4 linked regions of the Xenopus tropicalis genome follow. The protein of the gene in region 3 binds, or shares a complex with, the protein of the main gene of each other region. Links are inferred from orthologs where the notes say so. Each region holds a gene or a part of one and is shown on either strand. Other genes may lie near its edges. The genes, in order: plcb3, casr, gnaq and f2rl1.

Region 1 (4,731 bases), on a different chromosome or scaffold from region 3:
TGATTGAAAGATCATAATTGGTACATATATGACCACCTTAAAAAATCCAAGTCCGGCTTGGGACTCCTCCAGTTACATGGAAGTAGGAGAAACAATAGGTTATCTGAAAGCAGTTCTGATGTGTAGCGCTGGCTCCTTCTGAAAGCTCAGACTCAGGCACAATGCACTGAGATGGTGCCTACACACCAATATTACAGCTAAAAATACATTTGTTGGTTCAAGAAAAACATTTTAAATGGTAGAGTGAATTATTTGCTATGTAAACAGTGTAATTTAGAAATACCATAAAAATCATTCACATAAACAGTATCCCTTTAAATTGTTTTTAGTTTGCTAAGTCTATGATTCTTAAGGTGGCCATACACGAGGCGATTTCGCTCGTTGTGCGATGAACGATTATATCGACAAACGATCGTATGGCGATCGAGTTCCCATACGATATGCCATCCACGGGCAACGATAATTCGGGAAAGATTTTGTCGCATCATTATCGTAAAATACGTACGATCGTACATCTACGTACGATCGAATGTCGTTGACTTCCGCTGCTGGCAATCGTGACATGCGCAGAGAACAATCGTTGAAAGACAAATGTCTGACACTCACACCAACTGGCAGATTTTATCGTTAAACGACCAAAATTTTTAAACCTGGCCGATCGATTTTGGGGACGATAATGTCGGCTCGTTTAGTGGGCTGACGATCGTTCGTACACCACCAACTATACGATAACTTAACGATAGCATCGGATCATTCGGGAATCGGTCGTTTGTAAGTAAAAAATCGGTCCGTGTATGGCCACCTTTAGAAACTCTTCAATTGATCTTTAGTTTTTATAGTTATTGGATTATTTGCCTTCTTCTTCTGCCTCTTTCCAGCTTTTTAAAAGGGTTCACTGACCCCAGCAGCCAACAAAAAAACACTACCTTCATTATTTGTTACTTCATATGACTTATGTTTCCATTTAGGCCCTCTGCCATTCATCTTCCTGTCTGTCATTCAAACCATTTCCTAGTTGCTAGGGCAAATTGGACCCTAGCAACCAGGTAGCTGCGGAAATTCCAAACAGAAAAGCTGCTGAAAACAAAAAGCTTAAATAATTCAAAATCTTCAAAATAATGAAAGCCGAAAATGCACTGCACTTTGCAAGTCTATATCTGAAAACCAAGTTGAGCTTATAATATATGGTAGTCTTGTGATGATGATGGCATCCAGTTCATTCTGTGTCTGTTTCTTTCAGCTGGAAGAGGCCCAGAAAAGGCGACAAGAGAAGCTGCAGGCGGCTCACCAGGAAACACTGCAAAGGATAAAAGATGAGGAGCCAAAGGTCAGCATTAATGTGACAGACACCATAATACCCTGATACCATCACTATAACATAGATCTTCTACTTGCCCTTTATTAGCTCCCCCCTTCTTATGTTGGCGTGACTCCCCTGTTTGCATGCAGCCTCTGGCCTATATGAAATAATGCGCACTTGGCCTGTACTTCATTATAATAAGGTTGAGTGGCCTTTAATTCATCCAATAAAAAAGATCTAGCAGATCTGAGGAGGAGTATGTACAGTATAAGGGGGGGTGGCTGCCTGTGCCTCACCGGGGCATTCCAGCCAATTAGTGATGAGCCGAATCTGTCCCATTTCAGTTTGGCGAAAAATGACCCACACAACCATTTTTTGACGCGCAACAATTTTTTTTGGTGAACTCTTTTGGCCAAACTCTTCCACAGCAAGTTTTTGTGCCCATTTCACGAAGCAATCGACCAGTGGCGAAACAGAGATTCGCCACGAATCCATGCCTGGCGAAGATTTTCACTCATCACTACAGCCAATCAATAGTATGCATAATGTTAGTGTGTGAGTCATGAAGTTTGATGTCTGATAAAGGGGCGTGTCACCAAAATGTCACATTTTATAAATAAACACGCAGGGTTATTCCCGTGGCATGTATGCTTTAGCATACGTTGGGCAAAATGCATTTGCACATATAAGGGGTTATGTAATAAAAGGCACTCATTTTGCCCAGGAGTGGTAACCCATAGCAACCAATCAGCAGGTAGCATTTACTGGTCACCTGTTTAAAAGCAAATATCTTATTGGTCCTGATCCTGGGCAAATGTTGTGCCTTTTATTACATATATTAATAAATTATCACATTATATGGGTGATAGTTTTATGATGACCAGATATCTATAGTTCATAGACGTTGGTCAGGATCATCGGGTCCCCCATACAGACACTGAAAATCACATTAACAGTCATCTTTCCATTCTCAACCCTCATGTCTTCCTTTCATTTTCTCCCAGCTGCAGGCACAGTTAGATGAGTCTTGCCAAGCTGAGTTCCGCCAGCTGCCCCAGGAGGTCCGACGTTACTTGCAGGAGGATGGCTGGGTTGGCAGTGGTTCAGGTCCTCCCTCTTCTTCACACAGCAGCCCGCCCTCAATAAGCCGGAGCTGGGGGTCGGAGTCTGGCGAAAAAGATTCTCTTCATTCCCCTGGAGACTCAAGTGATGAAGCCACCAGGCTCTGACCCCCACAATAAACAAATGAACTTTTTTCCTTCCAGATGCTAATCTTGGAACCCAACATTGACAAAACATGTCTCTAGTGTACAGGGTACTGATAAAATAAGATTTACCCAGGATGCAGCTGTGTACAAGCGCACCCCATAACCAGAGGGTCACAGGAGCCAGCTCTCCACACAAATCCAGATCTCTGCTCAGTACCCCCAAATGTAAACCATTCTGTGTAATTTGTGTCATCACAGATGTGGGGAGAGGAAAGAGGACATGGTACCTGAGTGTGAGTGAGTCAGCGAGTGAGTGAGTGAGTGGTGCAGAACACTATGGGAGAAGAAGTGCTGAGTGGCCCATGAACAGAAACTGTAGCTAAAATATAAACTGCTTCTATATTAAAGAGTATTTTGCAACATTGGCAAATATATATTTATTTAAAGGGATACTGTCATCAGAGTAAAAGTGTTTACTTACACCAGAAATCAATGTTTAATATTTGTGTAAAAGTAGTGTAGTTTTTTGTTTTTTTTCTGTGAAGGGGGGGGGGTGTTACTGATTTACTTCACTGCTGAAAAATGTCTCGTCTGTGCTTTGTGGCAGTTTCTACTTCAGTTCATAGCAGTGCTTTGTTGTTTGTTTATGACAGGTGTTCTAAATACACAACGATGGGCAGAGCGTTCCTCTTACAAGGCAAAGATAAGGACCAATTAGCCTGTGTATAAAATGATCCAACTACAGTGCTGCCCTTTGTCTGATGCAGATGTGAGTGGGAGAGTCTGAAACATTTAACGTCTGGGGCACATAAATCCATCATATCTAATCCTGCAATGCCAAAGAACGTCACAGCATTAATAATGACTATAGCAAATGGGGAGATTTGGCTGTCGCTGCCCTCTAGTGAAGGGTGCCTGTCACTGCTGCAATCCAGTAAGAGCCTGTCATTCCGTAGCATCTGGAGTGAGAAGAGGTGGAGAGGGGCATTTTGTCTGCCGCTGGTTCCAGCTGAGGGCAGTGTCCCTTTAACGTAGTCAGAAATACAGTCCTGAGATTCTGCTCTCATGGAATGTTCTTAGGAGGTGTCAGACTTTTTTATGACATTGTCAGTTGCAGACTGTGAATACAAGCAGCCACTTGCCATTTTAATGATGGCCAATACATTCCCCTAGGTGATGGCAAGCATGATCACCACTTAAAGGGTGGGTACCTATAGGTGTAAAGTGCACCTATCGTCAGCCAGGTTTTTGTTTTTCCACTTGCTCCATACATATTAAACCCAGGGTGCCGTTGGTGGAGGCAGCCCATTTTTATTGGCTCACCAACTATAAGGTATTTTAATATACAGCCAGAATAAAAACAAATAAAACACCAGCACTGAAAATCCCCATGGGGAGAGACTGTTCCATCTACTCTCTTTTTAACTAAACAGATAGCTGCCCCTGGCCTCCTATTGCAAGGCTTATTCTTCAGCACTTGTAACTACCGCTAAAAAAACAGTTTTAATCACTTATAGCACCATATAGAGTTGGCAGCAAAAGGTTTTAAAGAGATATCTGAAGGTCATCTGACATTTGTACATCATATAATGACCATCTGTGTATATCCCCCAATGTGGAGAGCTTTATGTGTACTTTCACTTCAGCTTTAGTTTCCCTTTATGTCGGTGATTAAACAAGCATCTCTATTGCTTGCTCTTTGCCCAGAAACTCCAGTGCCCCCTGCTGGCATCACTTTGGGCTTTAGTAAACGTAAGGCAAGTCGGCCTTATAATGGCTGGAGTGAGACATTATACAATGATTCCTAATGGTTCCTAATATCTCTCTTCTTGAGGAAGGTTTGGTTCTTAGAGTAACATATGAATTTGTAATATATGAAATGGAGAGTAGTTGCTGACCAGTGGGCCTCTCATTGCTTGGTATAACCCTCTCGTGTGTATGACTGGCACTGTGAGTGTTTGTGCGTGTAGGAATGGCTCGTGCGTGTCACTGTTACTTATCCTATTATATGAATTTTTTATTCACATTTTATTTCTTCAGTAAAATGATCAGAGATCAAACTGCTTTGTCCTGTTATGCTTTTACTTCTTAATAAATGGCCAACATAATGTACACTCTTAGTTGGGAAAGGTTGGCCAAGTTTACACTGGAGAAGAGGCGCTTAAGGGGGATGTGATAATTAATTAGAAATATATAATGGGACAGTACAATACAGTCTCTGAT
Region 2 (3,790 bases), on a different chromosome or scaffold from region 3:
AGGTTGAATGGACCCGAGCAGGGTGGGACTGAGCCAGCGGGACACTGGGAGAAAACCCAATGGGCCCCACCGGCCCTGACCCAAACGCCACAGGGGGCGGGAATAGCTCTCATTTTCCTATATATTTTCAACGTGCGCACAGGGGAGGGGGTTAGGCAGCCAGGGGGGGTCCCTAGGGGGGGCATGGGGGCCCCTTGGGGCAGTGGGGGGCTTTTGGGGCAGCAGCCCTGTTGGGCCCCATTCCCATCAGTCTGACCCTAGGCACAAGCAAAAGCTTGGCCACCTGAAAGCAGGAAGTAGTGTTCTGGCTATTATGTTAGACATCTGCCCGCTCCAGCCTGTATAGATGGCATTTGTGCCCAACTCACTATATTACAAATATTTTACTTATTTTTCGCTGTTAAACAGAACTGTTCCTTTAATACAGGTGCGTCTATACCTGTAAGCTCCTCCCCCATTGCTGGGTCCGTACAAGCGACTCGCATCACAACCCAAAATAGGGGTGTGGCCTTTGCCATCAATTGCTGATATCCCACAATCCAAGATGGATCCTGTATATCGGGGGGGGGGGGGGGCAGCAATAATTTCCCAACATTCCCAGCAAATATTTATTAATGTAAGTAACAGTATAACAGTATATTCCCTAATACAGGTTTCCCCTATAACATACACAGTGGAACACAGCACCCCCCCCCTCCCCCGGCCCAGCTATGCATCATGGGAATATTATTACTCTACAGTATTTACAGCATCTATGTGTCATTATGGGTAATGTGCTACATACAGACTATAGTGCGACATTGTAGGCTCCGTACAGACGTCTCATTGGGGGTCATCCTGTTGGGGGGTTGGGATTGGGGTGCACTGAATCCGCTACTTTAGGATCCGGCCGAACCCTCTGCCCCACGGCGCCCCCTAGTTTTGCTATAGGAGCTGCCAAAAAACATAATTATAGATGCAAGAAAATTCACCAATGAGAGTTCTACTCATTATAAATGCAAGAGAAGTGACCAATGAGAATGCTGATTCCCTGTGTCAGGCCCCTTGCTGGTACCTTACATATAGAGATAATGATGGCATTTTCCCGTCATTATATGGCACAGGAATCAGACATGGGGATAAAGGGACAGACTTGTTCAGTGCTGGGAAACTGTGCTTATTGCTCCCAACTCCAATTGCAGGAACAGAGAACAGGGAGCCGGATTTACTCACATCAGCTGGGATTCTCATTGGGGGAAAGTTTTTTTGGGCAATATTGCTTTAAGAATACAGCCCTGATGTTGCTGTACTACAGCTCCCAGCATGCCTCACCCTTCATTATATGTTACATTATTCTGGGATTTGTAGTCCTGCAACAGCTGAGTAACGTTTGGTTGAGCCGCAGGGTTTACTTCCCCTTTAATCATTCGGATTCGGTTAGGCCAGAGGAATGGATTCGGGCGAATCCTGGATTCCGTGCACCCCCACTTTGGAATGAACCCTATTTCCCACACTGATATGAATAAACATTTACAAGGCAGTAAGATTTGGGGGGGCTACGCCCGACGTATGTCTCGAAGGAACTGTCTTTGCTTCTCGGTGGAGCCGGGGCCCCAAGAGACAAGTTTAACAGAGTTCATATCTCCTAGCGGGTTCTGCAGAGCCACCGCTCCGTGTAAGTGCAAGTATTAGGAGTTCACCGCATTCTCTGTGATGGTTCCGTCGGTGACGCTCTTGGAGTTCCCCATCTGGGGCAGATCTGCGCTCTCGGGTTTGACCGATTCTAGGGATCCGGCCTCGTCGATGTTGGAGGCGGTTCTGAAACTGGACTCGCTGCCGGCGTCGCTGTTCTGCAGGGGGAGGAGAGCGCGGTGCCGCATCAGACTGTCGTCGCTGTTCTTGCCTTCCAGCGAGTTCTTGGCCCTGGTGGTTCTGTTGGACACGGCGTTCCTTTGGGTTTCGTCGAAGCTCAGCGACAGGGTGACGGTGCCGCTGCCGAAGCTGACTTTCTGCTTGCAGGCCCGGTTCTTGTCCCCTATGGAGAAATGCTCGTCGTGGTTGCTCTTGCTGCTGATGGAAGAGGACGGCGTGGAACCGGTGGACCCCCCGAGGCTGTTGGACCTCTTGTGCGAGACGTTGCTGCGCCTCAGGGTCGCCCTGGCCGCCACCTTGAAAGCGTGGGCTACGGTGCTGCAGCGCACTTCTTCTATGGTGTTCCTGGACGGTTTGAAGAGGATGATATAGACCTTGTTGAAGAAAATACAGGCCAGGAGGCCGAAGCTGGAGGCCAAGATGGCGATGACTTCGACCGCGGAGACAAATTTGCCGTAGGTGGAGGCGTAAGCGGGGATGAAGGAAATCCAGACGATGAAGAATATGAGCATGCTGAACGTGATGAACTTGGCCTCGTTGAAGTTCTCCGGAAGCTTCCGGGCCTTGAAGGCAAAGAAGAAGCAGATGGCAGCCAGGAGGCACGTGTAGCCAATGAGAAAGCCCAGGGCCATCAAGGAACCTTCGTTGCACGTAATGAAAATGATCTCGTCCTCCAGGTCCTGGTTTCTGTAGCTCCAGGGCGGCGCCGTGTACAGCCAGATAATGCAGGTCACGATCTGCACGAAGGTGCAAAGGAACACCAAAAGGAACTGCAGGTTCAGGCCCCACCACTTCCTCTGGAAACTGGTGGGGATTTTGGCTTCAAACACCAGCAGGATGCGGTTGGTCTTCACCAGGATGCAGGAGATGCACAGCACGAAGCTGATGCCGAACGCCGGCTGCCGCAGCCGACACGTCCAGTCCTGGGGCTCCCCGAGGAAAATCAGCGAGCTGGAGAAGCAGCAGATCAGGGAGAACAGGAGGAGGTAGGACAGTTCCCGGTTGGTGGCCTTGACGATGGGGGTGTTGCGGAACTTGATGAAGACGCCAAGGACAAAGGACGTCAGGCAGATCCCCAAGATGGCGAACATGGTCAGGGCGATGCCGAAGGGCTCCGTCCAAGACAGGAACTCGATCTGCTTGGCGATGCAGGAGGTGTGGTTGTCGTTGGACCAGTAGTCCTTGGCGCACTTCTCACAGGCGCTGGCATCTGGCAAAGCAAACACAAGCGCCGTTATTCATGGGCATAGCAACCGGGAGTTGGTTATGTATTGGCATAGCAACACTGGGAGCCGGTTATGTATTGGCATAGCAACCGGGAGTCGGTTATGTATTGGCATAGCAACCAGGAGACGGTTATGTATTGGCATAGCAACCGGGAGTCGGTTATGTATTGGCATAGCAACCAGGAGACGGTTATGTATTGGCATAGCAACCGGGAGTCGGTTATGTATTGGCATAGCAACACTGGGAGCCGGTTATGTATTGGCATAGCAACACTGGGAGATGGTTATGTATTGGCATAGCAACACTGGGAGCCGGTTATGTATTGGCATAGCAACACTGGGAGATGGTTATGTATTGGCATAGCAACCGGGAGCCGGTTATGTATTGGCATAGCAACACTGGGAGCCGGTTATGTATTGGCATAGCAACACTGGGAGATGGTTATCTATTGGCATAGCAACCGGGAGCCGGTTATGTATTGGCATAGCAACACTGGGAGCCGGTTATGTATTGGCATAGCAACACTGGGAGCCAGTTATGTAATGGCATAGCAACACTGGGAGATGGTTATGTATTGGCATAGCAACCGGGAGCCGGTTATGTATTGGCATAGCAACACTGGGAGATGGTTATGTATTGGCATAGCAACACTGGGAGATGGTTATGTATTGGCATAGCAACCGGGAGCCGGTTATGTATTGGCATAGCAACA
Region 3 (4,731 bases):
TTCCTATTTTTGAACCGCAGTTCCCCAGTAACCAACTTTGCAAAGTTTGGGGACTCAGGCATAAAAATTGTGAGACTGACAGCATTTTACACTTCATTATTGAAAGTAAATAGGTAAAATGTGATTGGCTGTTGGTGGCCCTGCCAACTTTTTTTTCTAACTTTGAACGACAAATACCCAGTGAGTAACTCTGGAAAGTTTAACAACCCTGCCATTATTTAATTTTAACATTAACTGTTGGTGGCTCCACCCACTTGTTCTAACCCTGAATACGAAGTCAGCCACTGACTGACTGTGCAAAGTTTGGGAACCCTGACATAGTGTGATTTAAGATTTTAAATTTAAACCAAAAAATCAATAGGTGAAGTCTGATTGGCTGTTAGTGGCTCAATCCACTTTTTAAAACCTAAAAATGCAGTCCCCTAGTGACCCTGGTGTTAATACTGGGAGAATGGCAGCAGGTTGAATTTCCCCATTAAAAATCAATCCTTAAAATCTGATTGGCCCTTGGTGGCTCCACCCACTTTTTCTAATTGTGAACCGCACTTACCTAGTGACTAGCTCTGCAAAGTTTGGGGACCTTAGTATTAATATTTAAAGAATAGCTCCAGTTTACATTTAAACATATGAAGTCTATAGGTGAAATCTGATTGGCCATCCAGTGACAAACTGTGCAAAGCTTGGGGACCCTGACATTAAACATGTGAGAATAGCAGCAGTTAAAATTTCTCCACTGAAAACAATGAAAAAAGTGTGATTGGCTTTTGGCAGCCCAGCCCACTTTTTCTAACCTTGACTACGTAGTCACCCAATGACTGACTGTGCAAAGTTTGGGAACCCTGGCATCAAACAAATAAAATTCAATAGGTGAAATCTGATTGGTTGCTGGTGGCTCTGCCCACTTTTTCCAAAACTTTCCCTAGTGACCAACTGTGAAAAATTTGAGGGCCCTGGGGTTAATAGTGTGAGAATGGCAGCAGGTTGAATTTCCCCATTAAAAGTCAATAGGTAAAATCTGATTGGCTGTTGGTGGCTCCACCCCCTATTTTTTAAACTTTGAACCACAGTAACCTGGTGCCTAACCCTGCAAAGTTTGGGGACCCTGATGTTATTACTGTACCGCCAAGTCAATCGTTAAAATCTAATTGGCTGTTCACAGCTCCGCCCACTTTTGGGCATCCAGCAATCATCATATTTTCATTCAGGCTGACCCCATGACTATGTGATTCAAGTTTGGGGAGTGTAGCCTCAAAGCTGTAAGATTAGCCTTTTGGACAGACAAGGTACAAATAAACTAATATATATAGTTAATATTCACTGGAATTGCTGTGCGAAACATGGTGCAGTTCTTGGATACCAAGCTCTGTAGCCACCAACTGTAGGTGGTTAAGATATGTATACTCATTTGCAGACCTGTCACACAGACATAAAAGTTGCATAAAGTAAACCCCAATTAATTACACATAAAACCCTAATTCTTGTTTAATTATTTATTCAGTACTTCTACCGACCACATGCATGAGTCTGATCTAGTCTAACCAAAAATTATCTTCCAGTAGGAGAAAAAGTCTACTAAAATCTTACCTTGTTGTGTTCATACTTGTATGGGATTTTAAGGGTGTCCATGGCTCGAATCATAGCTTGCATTGCAGTGAATATATTTTGATAGACAAGCTTTGTGAACCCCCTTTTATCTTCATCTGAATAACCAGATCCATGGATTATTCTCATCTGTTTGATAAATGTGCTTTTTCCACTTTCTCCTGTGCCTGAGAAGAAAATAATATTCGTTTAGTTAACATATTGGTTTCATAGGTGATCAAAGCAAACAAAAGGAATTCTGGGAATGAATTCCAAAACTCTTAAAAAAAAAATCTACCTAAGCTGATCAGAAAACCCTGCACTACACTGATGAGCCTCAAGTAAGGCGAAACCGGTCTGTAGTTGGGAATCTGATCAGCTATTATCCTGGCTTCAGCTTTAAACCCAGTGGGTGAGCTGTAGCCTATATGATAAACCCATGTAAATGGGATTTTTTTTTTTTTAAGAGTTTTGGAATTCATTCCCAGAATTCCTTTTGTTTGCTTTTGTCTGTATGAGGCAGTCTCCTCAACCTTATTTATTTGTTTATAGGTGATCTAACAAACACTCTGTGCGTCAATAACACAATATTCAATGCACAAGAACTGGGTGTTCTCAAGATTCCACATGGAGAGCATCTGATGAGGGCACCCCGGCATTAAAGATATACTTTAAAACAAATTGGTACAATCTTTTTTTTTCTGAAGAAAACTGCCCCCAAGCCACACCCATTGTCCCCATGGATTTTCACAGAAATGTATTTTCTTCTTTATATTTTTTTTTTAAGATTTTATTTTGTTAAAAAAAATATTACAACCAAATTATTTAAAAAATAAGGATTTCAGGGATCTTGCACTACACAGTATTTCTGTTTTTAGAATACACAGATTAACCCTGACCCCATTGCTGCCTATGGGATTCCTGCTGGCATTTTCTATCATGTTTTGTCTGTAATAGGCACATTTTAAGAAAGAAAGTCCTTTAGCAAATTGCCAATGTTTTTAAGCTACTCCCACAAAAATAAACGGGAAAATACATAGTAACATAGTAAGTTAGGTTGAAAAAAAGACGTACGTCCATCACGTTCAACCATAATGCCTATATATAAAAATGATTTAGGGAGTTTTCAAAGCCATGATTTTAGCGTAAAAAAACCTGTTATGGGCAAACATCTCAAACTGCTATGACTGCCACTGGCCTTAGAGACAAAAAGTACTTTTACAGAAAAAAAAAAAAAAAAAATAGCTTGAAGTAACATTTACCATAAGGTGCACCAACATAACATTTTCTTACTGATTAGTGATGTAATCAGTTCGAACAAGAAAAGTAGTCATTGAATGGTACATGCTCCCCAACCCAATTTTTGCCCTATGTAACACTCAGCTGATCCTGTTATCAGTCTGGCACTCACAGAAACTGGGAAAAACGGTTAGGTTAAAGGAGGTCACAAATAATACATTAACACCCCAACATGTCACAATAACTATGATTAAATGAAATCTATAACCCCAAACAATGTAGGTCTCTATAAAAATATATTGCATAAACAGCTCATGTGTCAAATCCTTTTTCATCTAAATAAATCATTTTCATAAAAATATACTTTAGTAGTCAAATTGCCATTTTAAGAATTAAGGGCCGCCTCCTGGGATCATAGGATTCGCAGTGCATACAATCAAGCCAAGGCACACATACATGGCCACATCAGCCTATGAATGGACAGGGCAATAATATTCCAGTTTGGCGAGATTCTTTAATAGTTTATATTATGTTATGTGACCGATCTGTTGGTTAAGTATTCATTCTGGGGGTATAGTTTTCCTTTAATACTATTTGGAAAACAGAACTACAGTGAATTTTTGTATAACAGTTTTCCTCAAAAGTCTTGTCACTATGGGAAGGATTAACCCAAACTGTTTATGCATATAAAAAGTACCTTGAGGCAAAAATAAAAATAAAAGCATGAGAAAAAAAACCCGTTTACATCATGCCATAACTGCCATCATGTGCTGGATTTTTATATCATAGGAAACACTTTAATATGTTATGAAACCTATGAAACAAAAGCTCTCTACATTCATGGGATTCAGTCAAAGGACATGGGGACATTTAATAATAGCAATGATTGAGCCAATGAAATTTGAAGATTAATATAAATGTAAGAAAGAGCATTTTCATGTCAGTGTATTTTACATAATGCTCAGATTCTTCCCATACTTTTTAAAAAAATCAATCTCTTTGTCTGCTAGCAATCAGCGTGCTTTGATGCTGTGCATTGCCTAGGAAAACACATTCTTCCCACCGATATGCACAGATTGCAAAATTATAGAAAGTACATTGCTGCCAGAGCGCCGCCGGGATCAAAAAATCAGCATCGGAGCCCATGGCAGCAGCAATCGTTTTACTTGCAGCGATCCAAAGCTTAGGCTGGGGGAAGGCATTTTGAGGGTGACAAATCTGCAGCAACAGTAAAGCAACAGTAAAGTATAAAATGACTTGGAGAGCAATACAAGCATCATAAAAGTTCATGGGGGAGCCAAATAAGGGCTAAAGATTGGCTACTAGGTAGCCTCTATGCACACTATCAGCTTACGCGGATGCCAGATGTGGCGTAGGCTGATATTTTCGGCAAGCGGAAAAACGCTTGGCGAAAATACAGCCCTAACCCTGCTACTTGTGCCTGCACCCGAATGAATGAGATACGCTCGGGTGCAGGCACATGTAGTCGATATACGCATGAAAACGCGTCTCATTCATTCGGGTGCAGGCACAAGTAGCAGGCGTAGGGCTGTATTTTCGCCAAGCGTTTTTCCGCTTGCCGAAAATATCAGCCCTACGCCACGTCTGGCATCAGCTTAACAGGAGGCTTTATTTGGTAGTAAATTTGTTTTTTTCCAACCAAAACTTGCCACCATGTCAGGAATTCAAAAATAACTACCTGGTTTGGGGGCACCGAGAGCAACATCCAAGGGGTTGGTGAGCAACATGCTGCTCAACAGCCACTGGTTGGTTATCACTGCCTTAGAGGGTCATGCCTCTTATCTACAATTACTAGCAGATCTTTCTGCATTAAGGATTTAAAATTATTAGTACCAATATAATTAGGCCCACGGGTATACAAAAAGTAAACCGGTTCACACATCTTTTAAA
Region 4 (5,342 bases), about 52 Mb from region 3:
CTCAGACCCCAAAAATGTAACAGTTTTTTTTAGACATGGGGGTACCTACGGTCTCAATTACCCCAAACCTGGCCAAATGGGTGCCGATTTAGATGGTACCAGATCATAAGCTGCCAATAAACAAACTCCCCCTTCCAGCTGTATTATAGGAGCAAACCTAGCTGGCCAAAACCCAACTGGGAACTACAGGAATTAAAGGTTGGCAAAGCTTTACCCCCTACACTAATAAAACTACTTTTGTTATATTACACATAGGCCACAATCTCAGGAAATGATTAATTCTGTAAAAATGTATGGTAATGGCGCATGGGCTGATCAAAGTGACCACTGCTTGCCACCGGTTGACTTCTGTTGACTAAATGGGAAGCACTGCTGGTTTCTATTCATGGCACAGATATTGTGGGTCCAAAGCAACCAGTGTCAATTCCAATTTGTGTCAGAAGAATCTTATCTGCAGCAGGAAAATATAAATTGGGGCAATCGAATGCCCCATTAGCAAAACAACAGGAATGGTGTCAAGTTATCTGTATGTAAATCTGTTTGATGTATATACCATTCTATTGTACAGAGCTGCAGTATATGTTGGTGCTTGGTCAATACTTGTAAAAGGGGAAATCCACCATTAAATTAACTTTTAGACTGTTACAGATTGGACAACTTAAAAGGGTTGCCTGGGTTACTGAGGAAACAAAAAACAGATACCCTGTAAGAGGATTATTACATATGTGTTTTGCTGAAGCCCTCTCCAATTTATCTTCCATTCTTACTCTCAAAACGTTGCCTGATGCCAAATGATGTTGAAATTCTGAACTGGAGAGCTGCAGAACAAGTCTTTATATAACTCACAAACCACATAATGTGTCTACAGTAACAATAACATTGTATGCCATTATAGTCAGCAGCATTGCTGGAAGCGTAACTACCCCTTTAAAGCATTTTCCCTTATAACTACTAGACTGCGGTGAGTACAGAACACGTATGTATATCTTATACACCCAGTGGCAATAATAATCTAAGGGCAGGTCATACTGATTACAAGACGATATGTGCTTTGCCCAGGATGAAACAATAGAAGCTGAATAGAACAGACTCCAATGAAGGAACATGTGGTTTAGCCCTGGGGCCTAGGAATATAGAAGCACCTTCTGGAAAGCTAGAACGTACGTAACAGAATGGCAAACAAAGGGGAATGTTATATTCACTGATCGCTCTGGGGGAAACAAACTTGGACTGATTCATTACGCAGCTGGAAACACTGAGACAAAATAACAGACCTTGATAAATAAAGCTCCCTGCACAACACAAACCGTCCATAACTTTTGGCCCTTATTGTCAGAAAGGACCCATACATATAGCCATTATTAAGTACTTCCCATATATAAAGTATATATGTCCTTATACGCACCCCCAGTGTACGAATTCACGTCTTTTAGTAAAAGCTCAACAAACGGAAGTCTCACCCCCACAACAGTAGCTACGTACATAAAGTACAGTGTGCCCTTTCACATTCCAGACAGCCTGGCACACTGCACTGATAAGCCAGACACACACAGACAGAAGTTATGGGGAACAGAGGATTTCATTGTTAGATGGTGGGTCTCAGTGACGCATGGTTACTAGGTATTTGTGATCACAGGTCCTGCACTAACTAATGTGCAGAACTGGGGGCTGCCTCCTGGCATGTGCTATGATCCAACATGGAAGATACACATGCATCCAGTTTCCCAGACTATGTATATCATGCCAAGGTGATGCCATCTCACTCCTGTATGGGAGAGCAGGAACCCATAGGCCAAGTCTTACTGTAAAGCCTGCGACTGGTTACATTAACCCTACACTCACCCCTTCTAACACATACACAGAGCCAGATGCAACTCCCCCTCCCCCCGGAAAAGGAACATGCTTAAAGCTGAATCGTCAGATATGAAAGTTATATACCCCCCTAATATTATGATTTCGGGCACCTTCAACATCCAGTCCTGTCCGATCGTCAATATCCAAGGCTTTTACTGATATTGGTTGCCTAGTCTCCCACCATACACACACTGATTATCTTCGGAACTTTGTTTTGGATGATATTGGTGTGTGTACGGCCACTCTCAGATGTCATTAGGGGGTTAATAAGGGGCTTATTGGCCAGACTATTCACACGGTGAGGTACCTCATAAATGTTGGCAGAAATCTTAGAGTAGTAGTAATTATATTATATATACATAATTATGAAAGGGATGTTAAAAGTAAAAACACTTATTTAAAAGCATTATCTGTCTGTTTCTGCTCTGCTGATTCAAATTGATACATTGTAAAGTCAGAACCAGCAGTGCAGAAAATAACAATGGGCGGAGAAATACTGCTTTCAAAACTAACATTTGGGAACAACTTGAAAACCACAGAAAATGTGTAACGAGTGAGTGTAGGGAGGTTGTTTGGATACTTTTCTTTCATTAGATATATTACTTTTGGATCTATGTCCAAATTTAAATATGTACAAATGAGGGGCCAGTGATCAATCGCACAATTTTTCCAATACTGAAAGTAGTCCCGGTATAAGTGATTTGGCATGGAGGTGTTTTTTCATCCTTGCCTACTATGTTACCCCAGTGCAACCAATAGCGTAGTACTAGGGAGCCCTGCCCCCACACTACTGCCCCTGAGACAAAGCCCAGGCAATGGGGGACACACACACACACACAATGAGACACACACACACACAATGGGACACACACACACAATGTGATCCTGGGCCGTAGCATTAACACTGTGCCTTAACCTCAACTATACTCCTAGTTACTGGCGTGAGTTGTAGTTCAGCTAGAGCTAGTAACAGGTTCAGCTAGAGCTAGTAACAGGTTGGGGGCAAGAGGCTGACCAGCAAGAAGCGGAGAGAATCACACAGTAAAGCGATAGTTGCGGCATGTTACAGGCTGCCCTAATGCCCTTACCTGTTACGGCGTCAAAACACAGCAACGCCCCGAGTATGAGCAGCCCCCACCGCCAGTCCCCCATGTCCTTTCCCTTTGGAGCCCGGGCTTGGATTCGGGAATGAAGTCTTCAGGTGGCGGTGGTAGGTTAGGAAGGAAATCGCTCCGCGGCTGGAAGGTGACTGAGAGTGAATAGGCGCAGCTCCCAACTCACCGCCCTACTCCAACCGCTCCGCTCCGGTCTCTGTCCCGCAACTCCCGGGTATCACTGAAACTCTGCGCACCTGAGCGCTCGCCCCGCCCACGCCACTGACGTCACTAGTTGATCGGACTGACTGGCGGGCTATTGAGCAAGGGGGCAAGCGCCTTGTCAGTCACCACATACTGCATTACCGCATTCATACTCTCACGTTGTACACGTTTTGCTGTAAGAACAAAGTGGAGTAAAAGATCCACTTTGTTATAAACGTTTAATTTTTTTCTCTATAAAATCTGTTGCCAATGAGACACATTTATCCGGGGCTGAAACAGAGCTACAACAGTTCTCCCCATAGGGATGTACTATTTTTAGGGGCGTTCCATATTACATAGTAATAAAGTTTCCTCTGGCAGAGTGAGACAATTTCTATAATAAATATGTCCCATGTAAAGCTGGCCATACACGCACCGATACTATCGTACAAAACCTCGTTTCGTACAATATTCGGTGCGTGTATGGCATGTCGGCGAGTCGACCGATATCGCAGGAAGCTGCTGATATCGGTCGACTCGCCGATCGGCCAGGTTAGAAAATTTTGATCGGGCGCCATAGAAGGCGCCTGACCAAAATCTTCCGTCAGGGCTGTGACTGACTGTGTGTGGCGGATCTGATGATGTTTTGTGCGACCGATGGTCGCACGAAACATCGTCAGATCGCCACATGTATGGCCAGCTTAAGTGTTTGTGTAGGTGTTTGTTTAAGTGTTTGTGTAGGTGTTTGCGTAGATGTTTGTGTAAGTGTTTGTGTAAGTGTTTGTGTAGATGTTTGTGTAAGTGTTTGTGTAGATGTTTGTGTAAGTGTTTGTGTAAGTGTTTGTGTAGGTGTTTGTGTAGATGTTTGTGTAAGTGTTTGTGTAATTGTTCGTGTAGATGTTTGTGTAAGTGCTTGTGTAGATGTTTGTGTAGGTGTTTGTGTAGGTGTTTGTTCAGAGGTTGGAGACCTCAAGCAGCACTATACAGTGATTAAACACCTACTCACTTGCTATGGCCTGATACTATGATTAGTAGACCGCAACAGGGTTGAAGAGTTTACTCTAAAAAAAGAACTAGGGGCTAAACTCCTCCAGAGATTTTCAGCAGATTTTGGCAATGTCGCCAAGCGAGCGGATCTTCTCCCGATATTCCCACCTACAGGTGGCCGATATTGGGAGAATCAAGACTAATTTGATCATTTGGCTCTGGGGCCAAACGATCAAATTATAACAACGGGTATAGGAAAAGTCGGTCCAAGGATCGCATCAACGAGCCGATGTGGCCCCCGATCTGACTAGATTTTTTTAACCTGACTGATTTCAGGCCAGATATCGGTTGGGTGGGCCCTGGGGTAGTGCCCATACACGGGCCAATTAGCTACCGGCAACCAGGAAAAGCAGTCGTCCTTTGTACTCCTCTGTGTTATCAAGATATGTGAGTGTTACAACATATCCTTTTATATACAAAGGAATGTGTGCTATTTGATGACCTCTAAAGCATGTCCCAACAGACAATAAAGCATCCATAGGAACTTCCCACATTCTGCTTAGTGTTTCAGATCTCTCTCACTTCAGTCACTTCAATCTGTGACTTAGCTTTTACGTCATCTGTATGTACATTGATGTTATCACAAGAAGCCTGTTGTAAGTCTTGCTATAGATATATATATTATTTGATTCCAGAATTGCTGATATGATTACACATAAACAGCAGGACAATGCTATGGGGCGTTGGGTTCCATTATGCAGAACTTTGAGCAAAAGGAAAGTACTGGTGAGGGTGTCGATCCCCACAACTCCTGAGCACCGGGCAGAAAACAGAAGAGAGTCCTGGGTTTGCAGGTGAGAAACTTTCCTTACATTTTGCAGATGCACAATGTATCCACAAGATTATTTTTGGTTCTGCTTCTGCTAAAAGAAGACCAATTATTTTCACAAAAGGAAAACAGAATACATTTAAGAAATTAGTTTAGTAGTTATGGCAATTTTCCAAGTAGGACTTCCAAGTAGGTTACTAACAGAGGTCTTTTAGATTATTAGTTATTAAGATAATAGATAAATACAAAGTATAACAATAAATACAAATAAATAAATACAAGATACAGCTGCAATAAGTTAAGAGGCAAAGACACAAGAGGATGGAGGTCCCTTACAATCTATATGGGAGGGTAACTTAGAGATACAAACAGGC

What was found.
Region 1: the proteins of gnaq (region 3) and plcb3 are in contact, whole or in part, in a cryo-EM structure (PDB 8UQO), measured with the Homo sapiens proteins. The link is inferred for Xenopus tropicalis from reciprocal best matches to the Homo sapiens genes GNAQ and PLCB3. Residues at the interface, in NP_002063.2 of Homo sapiens: Pro185, Thr186, Thr187, Ile189, Glu191, Pro193, Arg202, Gln209, Arg210, Ser211, Glu212, Arg213, Arg214, Lys215, Trp216, Ile217, His218, Val240, Glu241, Glu245, Glu249, Glu250, Ala253, Leu254, Arg256, Thr257, Ile258, Thr260, Tyr261; in NP_000923.1 of Homo sapiens: Pro257, Arg258, Leu259, Asn260, Glu261, Val262, Leu263, Arg707, Asp709, Lys710, Ile719, Asp721, Gly722, Ile723, Val724, Ala725, Ser845, Asp846, Tyr847, Ile848, Pro849, His852, Tyr855, Ala856, Ala858, Leu859, Ile860, Asn861, Pro862, Ile863.
Region 2: the proteins of gnaq (region 3) and casr are in contact, whole or in part, in a cryo-EM structure (PDB 8SZG), measured with the Homo sapiens proteins. The link is inferred for Xenopus tropicalis from reciprocal best matches to the Homo sapiens genes GNAQ and CASR. Residues at the interface, in NP_002063.2 of Homo sapiens: His63, Leu196, Gln197, Ser198, Ile323, Tyr325, Ile337, Arg338, Phe339, Phe341, Ala342, Lys345, Asp346, Ile348, Leu349, Gln350, Leu351, Asn352, Leu353, Glu355, Tyr356, Leu358, Val359; in NP_000379.3 of Homo sapiens: Lys644, Ala645, Asn647, Arg701, Val702, Leu704, Val705, Phe706, Ala708, Lys709, Ile710, Pro711, Thr712, Phe714, Phe801, Arg873, Thr876, Ala877, His879, Ala880, Phe881, Val883, Ala884, Arg886, Ala887, Thr888, Leu889.
Region 4: the proteins of gnaq (region 3) and f2rl1 are in contact, whole or in part, in a cryo-EM structure (PDB 9D0A), measured with the Homo sapiens proteins. The link is inferred for Xenopus tropicalis from reciprocal best matches to the Homo sapiens genes GNAQ and F2RL1. Residues at the interface, in NP_002063.2 of Homo sapiens: Arg37, Ile323, Tyr325, Asp346, Ile348, Leu349, Gln350, Asn352, Leu353, Glu355, Tyr356, Asn357, Leu358, Val359; in NP_005233.4 of Homo sapiens: His108, Pro109, Ala110, Met114, Gln172, Arg173, Val176, Ile177, Pro180, Met181, Gly182, His183, Ser184, Arg185, Met265, Met268, Leu269, Met274, Asp275, Asn277, Lys280, Lys281, Arg284, Ala285, Leu288, Ile289, Tyr344, Tyr345, Val347, Ser348.

The regions. Positions count from the first base shown.
Region 1 is NC_030680.2:35,338,847-35,343,577, reverse strand, and holds the end of plcb3 (1-phosphatidylinositol 4,5-bisphosphate phosphodiesterase beta-3), read left to right. Parts: intron 1-1,240; coding exon 1,241-1,327; intron 1,328-2,304; coding exon 2,305-2,529; 3' UTR 2,530-4,568; downstream 4,569-4,731. UniProt on the Homo sapiens protein: Catalyzes the production of the second messenger molecules diacylglycerol (DAG) and inositol 1,4,5-trisphosphate (IP3).
Region 2 is NC_030678.2:2,451,503-2,455,292, forward strand, and holds the end of casr (extracellular calcium-sensing receptor), read right to left. Parts: intron 3,062-3,790; coding exon 1,668-3,061; 3' UTR 1,341-1,667; downstream 1-1,340. UniProt on the Homo sapiens protein: G-protein-coupled receptor that senses changes in the extracellular concentration of calcium ions and plays a key role in maintaining calcium homeostasis.
Region 3 is NC_030677.2:132,492,761-132,497,491, forward strand, and holds part of gnaq (guanine nucleotide-binding protein G(q) subunit alpha), read right to left. Parts: intron 1,770-4,731; coding exon 1,585-1,769; intron 1-1,584.
Region 4 is NC_030677.2:184,881,226-184,886,567, reverse strand, and holds the start of f2rl1 (proteinase-activated receptor 2), read right to left. Parts: upstream 3,288-5,342; 5' UTR 3,007-3,287; coding exon 2,943-3,006; intron 1-2,942. UniProt on the Homo sapiens protein: Receptor for trypsin and trypsin-like enzymes coupled to G proteins.